2 linked regions of the Rattus norvegicus genome follow. The protein of the gene in region 2 interacts with the protein of the main gene of each other region in a biochemical or structural test. Links are inferred from orthologs where the notes say so. Each region holds a gene or a part of one and is shown on either strand. Other genes may lie near its edges.

Region 1 (7,238 bases), on a different chromosome or scaffold from region 2:
AAGACATTTCCAGATACAAGATTACTATTTTTCCAGATGTGCCCATCACCAAACACTGATGAATAATTAATAACAGCTTCTGCAGTAGTGAAATAAGGACCAAATCTTAGTCAACACGTCAGAATCCAGGCACACACATCATTAGCTTTTGTTGCTACGCTTGCTATTTTACTATTACTACAGTAAGGGCCAATATCATTAATGTGATACTTACTGATGGGTAGAGGTAACCTTCTCCATTCATTGCTATGTACAACCCTGTCTTCACTCCCTGGATGGCAACAACACGCAGTCCCACTGGGATGAGGTTGAACAGAGCTGTTGAAGATAAAGGTAATCTGTCACTAAGCGGTAAATGGAGCAATGCATTTCAATAATACTTCCCCCTTTACTTTCTGTTATTTAAAAAACACATAATAGGGGTTGGGGATTTAGCTCAGTGGTAGAGCGCTTGCCTAGGAAGCACAAGGGCCTGGGTTCGATCCCCAGCTCCAAAAATAAGAACCAAAAAAAAAAATCCATAATATTTCTATTTTACAAGTTGACTAAAGAATTTTATGATGAAGAAGCTTCTGCTAAATGAAAAAAAAAAAAGAGCATCTCAGTTTCAGGTTTCCCACAGAAGGCTTGCTCACAACATTTTGAAGGGTTTGGGGGACAGAACAGAATCAAGCCTGGAATTTTGCTTCTATTATCCAAGTCTCTGACCCTACTATATTTCAGGAAAAAAATCATCTGTGGATATTCTCAAGGCACAGAATTTAAAACTCCAACTTTAAAGTTGACTATCATTTTCTACACAGTATAACTAGGTATTTCAGTGCAGCATAGACCAGAAGTCCAGAAGTAATTCTCAAACTAAATTACTTTGGCAGAAGCTACATGAGACGCCAGAAAATCCAAGAAAAGATGTATACCTGCCCATGGGATAAGCTTAAAAGGTGTCAAGAAGATGAAATAGCATGTTATTTTCAAGAAAGACTTTTATTTATTGGTATTGTATAAAGCTATAAATAAACATAAAAGTATAATATGCTGTTTTATATTTCTGATAATTTAAAAATCCAGCTATATTTTTATGTTTTCTTCCCTTCTAATAAAGTATTTAATGTACTTTTATGAAGTATATTCAACAATATCATTTTAGATATTGTCAACCATAATATGTCTAGCATGCTTATACTACTCAATGAGGCTTGCATTAGTATTCTTAGTGCAAGTGTTATTGACAAGAAAGCTATTAATTAACTGCTCTCATTTAACTCCTTAACTTGATTTTACTTCTGAGCAATGGGAATAGGCATTAGCTCTTAACACAAATGTATGAATAAAATGTCTTATCTTTAAGTCTTCAACTTTTTTACAGAAGACATGTCACTTGAAAATGATATACAGTTTGATTTTATTCTAAGGCTACTCAGTACATAATTAAAAAGTAATTTTGAAGGTTTTGTTCTGTTTTTCTTTTTCAAGATCATACTACGTATGATGGAGAAAGCTAGGTTCTCTTTTGCAATAATTACATATTTCTATTCTCCAGATCATACCATATCTGCACCTCAAAGGAAAACAGCAGGACATGGTCGTGATAATTACCCATAGATTAATTTGCGGTCCCACAGGTGGATAGTTGAGTGTTGCTTACAATATACAAAGTAACACTGAACTGTCTTCAACTGGATTCTAGAAGGTTATGACATATAGAAAAAAGTTTTAGACCTTTTTATTTGTTATTTGGTGTTGAATATAGTATGGTGCCATTGAGAACTAGGCTTTGTCCTGGAAATTCTGTTTCTGTTTTGCATGTGAAACTTATGTTTGTTTTTATCTTTATTATCTCCCTAAAATTTGAAAGGAGGGACACTGTAGGATAATTCCTAAGCTCCATGCAGAATTTTAAGAGAGAACATAATCTTGTATATGTTTACCTAACCTGATAATTTCCAACCTATTTACTTTAATCTCTGTATCTTGATTTAAAAAAATGTTGTAGCTTTTGAATATGTCATGTCAACTATATGGTATAATTCCCAAAGGCAAGAGTAATATGAATATAATATAGTATAAGAAGTAGAAAAGTTCTAAAATATAGCCTAAAATAACCTTAATAAAAATTACACTATCTTTCTTTCCTTGGGATTTTGTCAGGGAAAATGCCAGCAATTATCATTTACAAATTAACAATGTGGAGCTGACCATGGAAAAAGAGTGGTACTAGTTAAGAACATAGATAAATTATTTTTCACTCTCCTTGAATTTTTATAATTACAAAGCAATGAGGCAAAACCTAGTGGAATAAAAATAAAGATGTCCCTGTGATTGTGTTTCTGTTGTAGAACTCTCTGGTCTGCAACTAGATTTCAACCCTGGCTGTACATGAAAATGGCTGCGTTTATGAAATAAAATGACCATACCCAGCCCTGAACCAAACAAGTCAGAATCTCTAGGGCTAGGTTAAGGACACAAGAAAAGTGTCTTAAGTGCTCCTCAAATGAACTTAGACTACAGTTCATGTGAGAACCCATTCTAAACCCTTTGAGGGGTGGGTGATGTGATGACGCTTGTATATTTCAGACAGTCAGATCTAACTATGCATTCACACTATGTATACCTCACACCCTCACATGTTGCCAGAAAAAGAAAAAAGCAAAGAGGAAGTTCTTTCCTTCAGGTGTAGTTATTTTTGTTTCTTTTCCTTTGAAAACTTTTGTTATGATTTGTGCAGATAATGACACTCAATATCTAATTCTATAAAAGAATTTTATTTATAAATCTCTACCAACAGCTGTTTCTTTTCTGTGTTGCCTGTGCCTGAATTATCTTTCTTCTCTTTTCCTAATAAGAAATAAAATATAAATAAATAAATAGGAAATAATATAGGGGTAATTTTTAAGACAAAAGTGGAAGAGACAATAGAGAGAAGGATTTTTTATTTATAAAAAAAGAAAAGGAAGATTAATAAGAAAAATGTATATATAATATTATTTGAAGGGAGTAAAGCAAGTTACCGAAAATTACCAGTATAAACACACTCTTCATAAAAGTCAGCTCACTTCAGATATAAGGATACCAAAAATACTAATATTTCACATAGAAGCATGATGTATAAAACAACTTATTTCATGTCATTAACTGTTCTCAGAATCTCTGCCTGAGAACCTGATGAGTGGAACTAAAACATGAAGAACTGATGATTCCATTACATGGAAAAGGTCTTCCTTTCTTTTCATGGAGTATAGTCTATTGTGAAGAGAATGTTAACTTGACAGGAAGTCATCATTGCTCATGACCTAAGGATTGTATGTATGTCCTGGAACTGAATCTATCAAAACCCATTTGGACATTTTTCTAAACCTAGCAATAAAAGGTGAGTGTGTGTGTGTGTGTGTTTGTGTGTATGTGTGTGTGTTAAAAGTAATGTGCAAATAGAGGAAATTACAGACCAGTATAGGAGAAAACTGTGAAAAATGTAACGAGTATAATATAAAAAATACCAAATAGAAGGGAAATATTAATATTACAAAAGATACATAGAGTTTTAATGTTCACAGACCCTATGGTATAAGACAAATGTTTTATACAATGTGTTTATACATACAGAGCCTGAAGAATGCCCTCTATGCAGAAGACATTAACTTTTATACTGATACATGTGTGTACCTAACTGTTATAATCAGATGAACAGTGATATTGTGGACATAACCATTGCTTGAAAAAAACAAAAACTCAGTTTAACACCACAGGTCTCAATGAAATGATGCACGCAATCTAGTGGGCAACTAGAACCAAGCCAACAGGACCAATCACTTCCAAACACATCTCACAAAGCCATTTGTGTAGCAGATTTGGTTGGTCACTTACTGGAATTGGTGCTGTCATCCTTAGTTCCATCGAGAGCTCCATCGGGGTGCATCTGCAAGTAGTAACCTTGCCTGCAATATAACCTGGTCACTATGCCCTTGAGCTGGGGATCTGAAAGGCAAACACAGGGGTAATCAGATTCACAGGGCTGCAAGGGAGAGTTGGATTGTTCTCCTTCTTTTAAAAAAATTTCATGTTTCTTCTTCAGAAGATGACATTTTATAAAGGGTGCACATTTCCCCAGACTTGTCTGGGTCATGATAGCCAGATTACACAAACCACCACAATTAAAGCAAGCACAATAATAAGCTTCAGAAAATAGGGCATTTCATAAAACTAGCATGTGTATTTTCATTATTCATTAGATGGTTAAACTAATTAAATCATTAGTTTAATTACAACTTTAACCTCTAATTATTATAAACTAATTCTGTCATTCGGGGTGGCAATTCAAGAGTTTTGCAGTGGAGTGACTCAGAAACTTCGTTCAAGGTTTCAAATGAAGTTTTCATTTTACTTAAACTGACAACCTATAAGTGAGAGAAAACTGTATTTTAAAAAATTATGTTAAAATGTGATGTATATCTTTAATAAAATCCCCAGTTTGGACAATACCCCCTACCCTCAGCTTTCATGGAAGGATTTGTGGTGTTTATAAATGATATACAAAAGAGTCAGACATTTCACTTCTGAACTCAAAGTGAGACCTAGAATCAAAGGACACAGGAGATTGATTGGGCTTGGCTCAGCACTGCAGTGGATGCCTTGCATGTACAGGACCCAGCATTGCTGAAGCAAAACAAAATAAAACAAAACAAGAAAAGACAAGACAATACAGCAAAATATGACAATACATTAATCTACATAGGAATCAACTCTAGGACAATGTCCTGGTTAAGTTGTAAATGAAACAAGCAAGCTCTTTATTTATATAACTGAATAGAACAGCTGAGTTTTGTGTGTGTGTGTGTGTGTGTGTGTGTGTGTGTGTGTGTGTGTAAGTATGTATGTATGTATGTATGTATGTATGTATGTATCATTCGATTCTTGGACATCATACATAGAAGTAAAGGGAGGTGGGCATTCACTATAACTAAAGGGGAAGCTATGTATTGGGGTCTTCTCACTTAAAGACTTTAAGAAAAGATAGCTGCCTGGTAATTCAGTGTTTCTCTAGAAGCTAAGAAAATAAATGTATTTAAGAAAATAAATATTTGCATGTGGCTTTGCAAAGGTCATGCTCATTTTGGAAGCATAGCTGATATGGGACATCATAACTCTCATGGCAACAGCCTTTTCTCCACAGCAGCTGAATGGAACATGGAAATTTGTTTGTACTGTCCAAATTGCAGGATGCAATGAGCAATCCGACACATAGTCTTTAACACAGACTAGCCAACAGGCAAACAGAAACAACGAACAGGCCAAACAAGCAGATTTGCCCACAACAGAACAGCTCTGGGATTTTGAACAGCTTTTCAGAAATGAAAAAAATAATCAATCCAAGTCATTGTTCTTATTCATACGGCTGCACCAAGAACATTTACTTTATAGATGAGATGATGAATTGGACACAAATAACATTCTGGAAAGTAAGCTAACATTGAGGTATGATAACGTCACTGTAACAAGCATGTTAGAAGACAGGTGTGTTTAAAATACTGATTAAAAAGGTGTGTAAAAAGGGGATATCTAAGTAATTATTAAGATTGTGTATATACCTGTTTGGTTTTGGACCCTGAGACAAGGTGCATGTTTTACACATCAAAGCAGACCTGGCCTCCACCTTCTACCAGCATCTCTCAGTCCCTACCTGGCTTCAACCCTGAACTTTCCAGTCCAGGAGCTGGACTGCCCTTTCCCCAGTAATCTAGTCATTTTTATTCCCCTTCTCTATTTCTCTCTCCTTTTCTTCTCTGCACATGAGCATTATCTCTTTCTTTTCTCTTCCTTCTTTCTCTTTCTCCCTCTCATGGCAACTCCTTAGGGCCAGTGAGCTCACCTAAGAGCAGCTTCCAATCAACTTGCATTTAGTATAAACTAATCTGGCTTGAGTTGGTTTATTTCACCAGTGGAGAAATAATTTATCAATACTTTCTTCTATAACAAATAATCTCAAAATTCATAATCCCATAATTCTGCTTTGTCTTTTTCATTCTTTTGTTCTGTCAGAACACTGAACCCATGGGATAATACGGCCTCCATTTAAAGTACTTGTTCCCCTGCAGTTAATCCTTTCTGGAAATTCCCCTCACAGATATAACCAGAGACATGCCCAACCAGTCTCCTAGATAAGTCAATCCAGTCAGGTTGAAATTAATGGTTAAGGTTAATATTAACCATTGCTTGACTCTTAATTGCCACTTTGTTGCTGTTGTTTGCTTGGTTGGTTTTGTTTTTATTAATGAAAATAAATGTTTCTCCATACAATATATTCTGATCATGTTTCCACTTCCTCAACTCTTTCTAAAATTTCATACTTCTGAGATAAGTTTAAAAGAATATAGCCCCCCATCCATCTCTTCAACATGCCCTGCCCACTGCAGTCCTGTACCTGGTATTGGTTGCATTTCTTACGCTCTTATCTGTACATTGGTAGCAAGAAAAATAATGAACAGTGATATTGCAGATATGGCATATGCCTTTAATCCCAGCACTCAGGAGGCAGAAACAGACAGTTCTCAGTGAGTTCAAATTTAGCCTGGTCTACATAGTGAATTCCAGGATAACTACATCTATATATAAGTATATATATATATAGATGTATATATACTTATATAAGTATATATATATAGTGAGACCCTGTCTCAAAAATAAACAAAAATATAGCTAAAAGGATGGAAAAATTTATTAGTGCCTGTGAACATAAACAGAGAATTTTACAGTCCAGTTCTGTAAAATCCTTGTGTTCTGTCGGCATTTATTTTAAATAGTACCACATTCTAGCCGCTAGTTTTTCCAGAGTTTAGTTAAATAGATCAGTCAGGGCAGGAAGATCCTATAACCTAGCACACAGCTTCCCTTTACTCACACGGTGAGCCCTTATGAACCATACCTCATCCTTATTATGAGAATAACAATAAAACACAAAATTTTATTTTCTAGTGTTCATTTAATAATAAAAGCAATCTAATTTGAATGTACCTGTTTACACAGAACTTGGTATTTTTATTTTTAAAAACTAATAATTACATTTGTCCTTGGTTGTCAGGCATTGTTCTATAAAAACCTGATTCATTCATTAAATCTTCGCTATGGGTCTACTTCAGAGGAAACTGAATCAAAGATGAGGAAATTGGGAAAGAGAACAATAAAGTAATTTTACAAAAGGTACAGACTTTACAAGACTGGAGGTTGAGTATATATGAACACTCAGC
Region 2 (7,238 bases):
ATCTGGGCCTGGTGCTGGGAGCCTAGACAAGGATATGGAGGAAGGAAGGTCTGCTCTTGGCCTGCTTGTTCTCACCTCATTTGTTCTCACCTTCTCTGGCATCAGAGCCTGGTTCCTCAGGATTCTGGGGAACACTGAAGACCAGCACAGATGTCCAGCCTTTTGGACTGGACAAAGACTGGATTCTTAGAACTTCTGTTCATAGGCAGCCATTGTTGGACTAGCTGGACCATAGCCTGTAAGTCACTCTAATAAATTCTATCTATCATCTGTTGTCTGTCTTCTATATTCACTGTATAAGTTCTGTCAGTCTAGACAACCCTGATGAATACACCTAGCCTCCTGAAATAGGAGAGGATGAGACAATGTTAGTTCCTGGAAGCACTCATTAGCCACAGATGCTGAAGAGAACTTGGGAAGGGAATGTGTTTATGAAGAAGTCATTGCTGGTGCAGTACTGAAAGATCTCCCAATAGATCTGTCCTAGATTCCATAGGAATTACACAGGCAATTCGCCAATAGCCCACGAAGTCTCTTCGAAACACACCCACTCAGGCTTCAGCCTCTAGGTCCTTCATCCCAGCCCCAGGATGAATTCTCTGCAGCCTCGGTACTGTGAGTCTCATGCACCCTTTCTTTAAATGAAGCAAGAGAAAAGTTTTAGTCACTGCAGAAAGTGGAAGACAGTCAGAGTTAGTGCTGGTGGGGTGAGAACCAACTGCTGCTGCTTCCAACCTGAAAACAACACAGGAGCCCGAGGTCACGAAGCTGTGGTCATACAGCCTGGAGGACGAATGTTTTCATTTGGTGATCACAACAGAAATGGCCACACCTTAGGCTCTTCTCCCCAGGGGAAGTGACTTGACTGGCACATCTGGGAAGTATCCACGGCATGGACAGGAGCCACAGACCCCAGCCCCAATCCCCCCACCCTACCCTATCCCCAGACCCCACCTCGTTCCTGTAACCCACGTTAGCCATACACCCTGCCTCCTGCCCACGCCCCGCCTCATCTCAGAATCCCATCTCATGGTAGCAGAAAGGGAATGTCCTGTAGTCATAGGGCAAGAACCTTCTGATGTCTAGGCTAAAGACAGGGAGGGGACTTTCTGAATCTAAATAAGCCAGGCCCAGTGGCACGAAGGACAGGACAGGCTCTGGGGCAGGGCAGGGTCTTCAGAGGTCCCGTCCTCCAAATAAGAGCTAACTGTCATAAGAGGACCTGCACCCAAGCCTGCAGGGACACACTGATTGCTAAGCTAACCCCAGCTCCTGCTACAAAGGACAAGGAATGGGTAACTGGACACCTACAGCCACAATGAGGAAGTCCAACCAGCACCAGGCATTGGTGAAGAACTTGACGAAGCCGTAGGCTGTCCACTTGAGCAACATCTCCAGGATGAAGATGTAGGTGAAGACCTTGTCCGCATACTCCAGGATGGTGCGGATGGTCTTCCTCTGCTCAATGTAGATGTCCTCAAAGGCCTGCAAGAGATGCAGCGGCTGCCGAATCAGGGCAGTGTGCCAGCGTCGCAGCTCCTCACACAAGCTGTCCGCCATCAGGTTCCCACTCCTCCACTCTGATCCCCCGCTTCCCCTCCTTGCTTATTGGTTAGTGATGCAGGGGACTGAACCCAGGGCCGGGTATATGCAGGCTAACCACTAAGTCCAGGAAAGTATTTTATTGAGAAATAATTTATATCCCATATTTAAATTCAGTGGCTTTTAGGATATTACATATTCATCATATACATTTATAACATTTTCATTATCCCACATCTTCCAGCTGTTACCTTCTGGACCCCTCATTCTGTTGGTCCTCAGTATACTAATCTGCCTTTTTGGGGGCATTTCATACAAGTAAAACGATCCAATACTTTTTTTTTTGGTTCTTTTTTTCGGAGCTGGGGACCGAACCCAGGGCCTTGGTGCTTCCTAGGCAAGCGCTCTACCACTGAGCTAAATCCCCAACCCCCGATCCAATACTTTTTTTGTGTGTGCCTGGCTGCTTCTTATTTTTTAAAGATGTATGTATGTATGTATGTATGTATGTATGTATGTATGTATGTACACTGTAGCTGTCTTCAGACACACCAGAAGAGGGCATTGGATCTCATTATGCATGGTTGTGAGCCACCATGTGGTTGCTAGGATTTGAACTCAGCACCTCTGGAAGAGCAGTTAATGCTCTTAACCGCTGAGCCATCTCTCCAGCCTCAGGGCTTCTTTTTTTTTTTTTTTTTTTTTTTTTTTTGGTTCTTTTTTTCGGAGCTGGGGACCGAACCCAGGGCCTTGCACTTCCTAGGTAAGCGCTCTACCACTGAGCTAAATCCCCAGCCCCAGGGCTTCTTATTTTTATAAAAAAATTATTTTCTTTCCAATCATGTGTCTGCATGTGTGTTTGTGTAAGGGTATGTGTGCAGGAGTGCAGGTGCCCATGAAGGCTATGTTGTATTGCCTGTACCTGAGTTACAGGCAGTTGTGAACTACCTGATATGGGTGCTAGGAACCGAACTCAGGTCCTCAGGAAGAATAGCTTGCATTCTTAATGGCCGAGCCACCTCCTGACCCCAAAGCCTGGCTTCTCAAAGTTCTCAATCTATCTCATAGTTCAGCGTGTGTGGATGATTCACTCTTCAAGGAGGAACACGACTCCAAGGTATGGAAACACTGTGGTCTGTTTAACGATCATTACTTGATGGACACGGGCTGTTTCTACTTTTAAGCTAGTATGAATAACTCTGCTATGAGTGTTTGTGTTTGATTGGCAATGTGTTTTCAATCCTTTAGGGTGTGTGATTAGGAACAGAACTTGCTGCTAAGTCCTTAACATTGGGAGGAACTAGGAACTGTTTACCAACATGGCCACAGGACTTCACATGCAGGACATCAGGAGGGTGTGAGAGTTCCAGATGCTCACACCCTTGCCCATTGTTTATCAGATTTGACAAGATCCTTTCTGTTAGCTCCTCTATGCCACAGATATGGGGCAGGGGGCGGCCTGGGTTGGGAGAGTCTTCTCTCTCTAGGGAACTCATGAAGGAGGTAGTCCCTCCTATTGCATGATGGTGGACTATGTAGTTGTGGTGCTTGGAGGGAGCATGATGGTTACCTGTGGTTGGGAGAGTAGAAAGGCACACCTGTAGGTGTGTCAGTGAGAGCAGTTCTAGGGGAGAAATGAAGAGTGAGCAGTCTGGATGTGGAGAGGGATACTGGCCCATCTCAGGAGGCTGTCTGGGGTAGGGCAAAGCTGGCAGTGGCAGGTTTGTCTTCAATCCCATGCAAAGAGCACTGCAGGTTCGGGGGTGGGGGTTATCTTAAGGTCAGATGTGAAGAAGGGTGGATTCTAGACTCAAGAGCACTATATATATCCTGGCCAGCTCAAATCTCTTGAACAAATTCCTGTTCTTGGGAGCTCTCTACCCCTTCAAAGACTGGTAACCTCACCCAGCCTCGGTTCCCTGTTTCTTTGTACCCTTCCCCCACCAGCTGCTAGTCATTCTCCCTTGACTCTCACCAGGGCGCCACTGCTGAGCAGAATCATGAAGATGATGAAGGTCTCAAACCAATTGTGCTCCACAATGAGGAAGCAGGTTTTCCGCAAGATCCACCACGACTTGCCTAGTCCTTCCTCGATGTTGACCTGGCAGCACTTGAACCGCTGGACGCAACCTGGAAGCAATGGGAGAGTCGGGTCAGACTGGACCCTTGTGCGGCCTGACTGGTCCCTTTCCAGGCTCCCACTCCACAGTAGGGAGGGTAGCCGCTGAATATGGTGAGAATCGCTGAAGCTATGTTGCAAGGGTAATAAAAAGGCAGGACTTCTGGAATCAGGAAGATCACTACAAGGAAGCAGTGAGAGGGTTGGGAGGAGGCTGGTCAGGTCAGGAGGCAGGCACAGCACACCACGGAGGCCTTTCTAATGGCAGTCGGGCACAAAAAAAATCTAGACTGGAAACTTGTATGTCAGAACTGAGTAAGGGAAATGATTAAAAAATATTTATTAAAAACCAACCTGCACCAAAAATGGCACAAGTCTACAGCGCCTCCAAAATGGTGCTCGTCCACAGCACCTCCAAGATAGCGCGCGCGCAGCCATCGCGCCTCCAAGATGGCGCCCAACCACAGCGCCTTCAAAATGGCGCCCAACCACAGCGCCTCCAAAATCACGGGCAGCCACAGCGCCTCCAAAATGGCGCCCATGACTAAACAGCACACAGGTCATGCACAACCTTTCCCTGTCCCTTTTACCCTCTGTAAAGCAGGCGTCCGGATCCAAGTATTCCTCAGGTTGCTCCACGGGAACTTCTTCCACCTCAGGCTTGATGTCGATGGTACTTCCTTCTGAGGAGCTGGTATCGTCCAGTTTCTAGACAGGAAGGAAGAGGATGGGTCAGGGAGCTGTGCAGGAACATGTCCCGTGATCATGTGTACGTGACCTCAGCTAGGGGTCACGCACAGACAGACACTAACCGCGGGGTCAGGTGGATTAAGAGCAGGGACAAACTAAAGGGTTGATTGACTCCAGAATCCATGCAACTAAATCTGGACTAGCCCAGGGAGCTCGGTCCCCAAGGGGAGACCTAGCCTGACCCTGGGGCGCTGGGCTGGTTTTCTTGGCTGGGACCTTACATCTTTGCTGCCTTCAGGGTCTGATTCGCTGCTAACATCCTCTGTGTTGAGGTTCTCGAAGTCAGACTCGCCCACAGCAATGGGCACCCGGACGGTCAGGTTTGGGTTGTTAATGAAGGACATGTGGTCCTCGTCGATGATGTACTTCTCCACGCTGCTGCCGATGCCGCTGGTGGTTCCGTTCCCGTTCTTCTGGAAGTCGCCGTTCCGGTGGATATCCACGCCCGTGTGGTTGGCGATGCAGTTGGCCTTCTTCTCATACAGCTCGTCGAGGGGTTTCACTTCATCCGCCTCCCGCTGCTTGAAGTGAGCCTGCATGAAGGCGTGCACCTTCACTTTGGTCCAGGCCACGCCCTTCTTGATCCGGATCACTGAGATCTGCAGGTTGTTCATTTCCCCGTCGTCGTCTGTGGCCGCCAGGTTGTCTGCGCTGAAGGAGCTCAGAAGCAAGGCCAGGAATAGGTTCAGCACCTACAGCAGCAGCAGCAGCAGCAGCAGAAAAAAGGAGCAAATGTGGAATTGTCTTGGGACGTTATCCTCTCTCCTCAGTGTGACAAATCAGAAGCCAACAGAGTCACATAGACTGCAAAGGGTTTCTGTGCTGTGTTGGCTCCTGTCATAATTCATTTTATTCATTTCTTTGTGCAAAAGATGAAATGCCTGACCTTGGGCATGCTTGCATGCTAAGTGTTCAGCCCCTCCCTGTGGTATTTTAAATGTTCACGACGCCAGATGGAAATTTCTTTCGGCTTTACGGTAAGGAGTTTTGAACTTTTCCTGGCTCTTCTCTACTTTTACGTTTGTATGATGATGCCCCAAATCTATTAATTTTCTTATGACAAGAGGGCAAAGGCTGTATTCTCTTTGAAAGAAAAAAGATAAAACCGAAAATGCCTGAATGGATGACTGAGGAGGGCAGATGAGTGCACGGAGTCATGTGTTTGTGATAGCAGGTATCTCAAAGGACCCGTGTTAGAACAATAAAATTAGGTTTCCAGAGCCATACTTTCATAAACAAACCAAGAAGGCAAAACTGAAATATGTATGCCACCTTCCCTCAAGGGTGTGTTCTGGAGCACTTTAATGTGCGAGGCCCTGTAACATATTAACAACTAAGCAAAAAGGAGTGAGTTATCTCTGCTTCCCCGGTGTCTACAAAAATCCCTTTTCTGGAAGCAGGGACAGAGCCTATAAACTGGCCACATCCAAAGTTAAGGTAGGGACACCAGAGCTAGGAGTTCAAAGTCTGAGCAGGATGCTACACCGACTTCAGTCTCTCCTGCAGAGCCAGACGCCAAGCCGTGAAATGCAGGCTTTGTTTAAAGCCCCTATTTTGCCATGTTGGATAACACACACTACTGTTTGGGTCTCATTACGTAGCCTAAACTGGCCTTAAACTCACGATCCTGATGCCTCAGCCTCCTGAGTGCTGGCATTACAGGTGTGAACCACCCAGCTTGCTAACTGCTGCAGAATGGAGGGGTGTAAGTGGTGACCGAGATCTCAAGGAGTCATTCCTGTTAGCTACACCAGAAGGCTGGGCAGAGACAGAGATGGGCTGGTACAGTCTGGTCAGCTGGAGGCAGGTGCGTGGATATCTGGTAACACACACACATCTCCCCCGCCTACCCAGGTACAGGGCCTGGCTCCACCTTTTATTTATTTATTTATTTTTAACTGAATGAACCTTGTGTGACTGATGCAGGTAGTTCTCTGATCACACTATAGGAGTGCAGCGATGCAGCCAAGAGATGCTGCAGGGAAAGCTGTGGGTACAGGATATGTAAAGAAAGAAATATAAAGGAGGAGCTGCCCGCACAAAAGGAGGGACAGGACCTGGGGGAGGAGTGTGGAGAATGTCAGGGATTGCAGACCCATCGTGGTGACTGTTTTTATTGTGGGAGAGCCATTTTTGGCTCCAAGGAATGTGTCTGGTGCAAGGAAGCTTCGTACAGAAGAAATGGGAGCAGAACAGATTGATGTGAGTTTATAGGGACTGTGTGAGCTACTGTATGGGGATTGTGTGAGCCATTCTATAGGGACTGTATGAGCCATTCTATAGGAATTATGTGAGCTGCTCTATAGGGACTGTGTGAGCCACTCTATAGGGATTGTGTGAGCCGCTTTCCCAGCTATCAGGAGCACAAGTCACACAGTGAACATGTGGCAAAGTCTGTGGACATTTCTGGTCATTGTAATTTGGGAGATGCTACTGATGGCTGATGGGCAGAGGCCAGGGATGGTGTTAGAAGTTCAACAATGCATGTGGAAGAGGCCACAACAAATATATGGCCAGAGATTTCAACAGTGCCAAAGTGAACAGATTCTAACTTTTCTAGAAAAAGGAAAGTTGTTGTAATTGGAAGGACAGATAGACAAAACCCCATGAAGTCTATCACCTGTGCGTGACCTGAGTTGGTGGGGGATCACTTAACCTAACTCTGGTTTGTTCTTTCAATTATGACCAAGGGTTATCAGGTTACAGAGTGACATGACTCAGTAGCTACCCTGGTAATAAACAGTCATTCCTTCATTTGTGCCTTAAAGCAGATCTGGGCCAAGAAAGAGTCCACCAGAGAAGGTGGTGGAGAAGCTGAGGGGACTGG

What was found.
Region 1: the proteins of Scn8a (region 2) and Fgf14 form a complex in vitro, tested with the Homo sapiens proteins (2 studies listed by BioGRID). The link is inferred for Rattus norvegicus from reciprocal best matches to the Homo sapiens genes SCN8A and FGF14.

The regions. Positions count from the first base shown.
Region 1 is NC_086033.1:107,615,841-107,623,078, forward strand, and holds part of Fgf14 (fibroblast growth factor 14), read right to left. Parts: intron 3,973-7,238; coding exon 3,862-3,972; intron 497-3,861; exon of another isoform or gene 424-496; intron 319-423; coding exon 215-318; intron 1-214. UniProt on the Homo sapiens protein: Probably involved in nervous system development and function.
Region 2 is NC_086025.1:134,001,944-134,009,181, reverse strand, and holds part of Scn8a (sodium channel protein type 8 subunit alpha), read right to left. Parts: intron 5,104-7,238; coding exon 4,633-5,103; intron 4,370-4,632; coding exon 4,252-4,369; intron 3,673-4,251; coding exon 3,518-3,672; intron 1,486-3,517; coding exon 1,312-1,485; intron 1-1,311. UniProt on the Homo sapiens protein: Pore-forming subunit of a voltage-gated sodium channel complex assuming opened or closed conformations in response to the voltage difference across membranes and through which sodium ions selectively pass along their electrochemical gradient.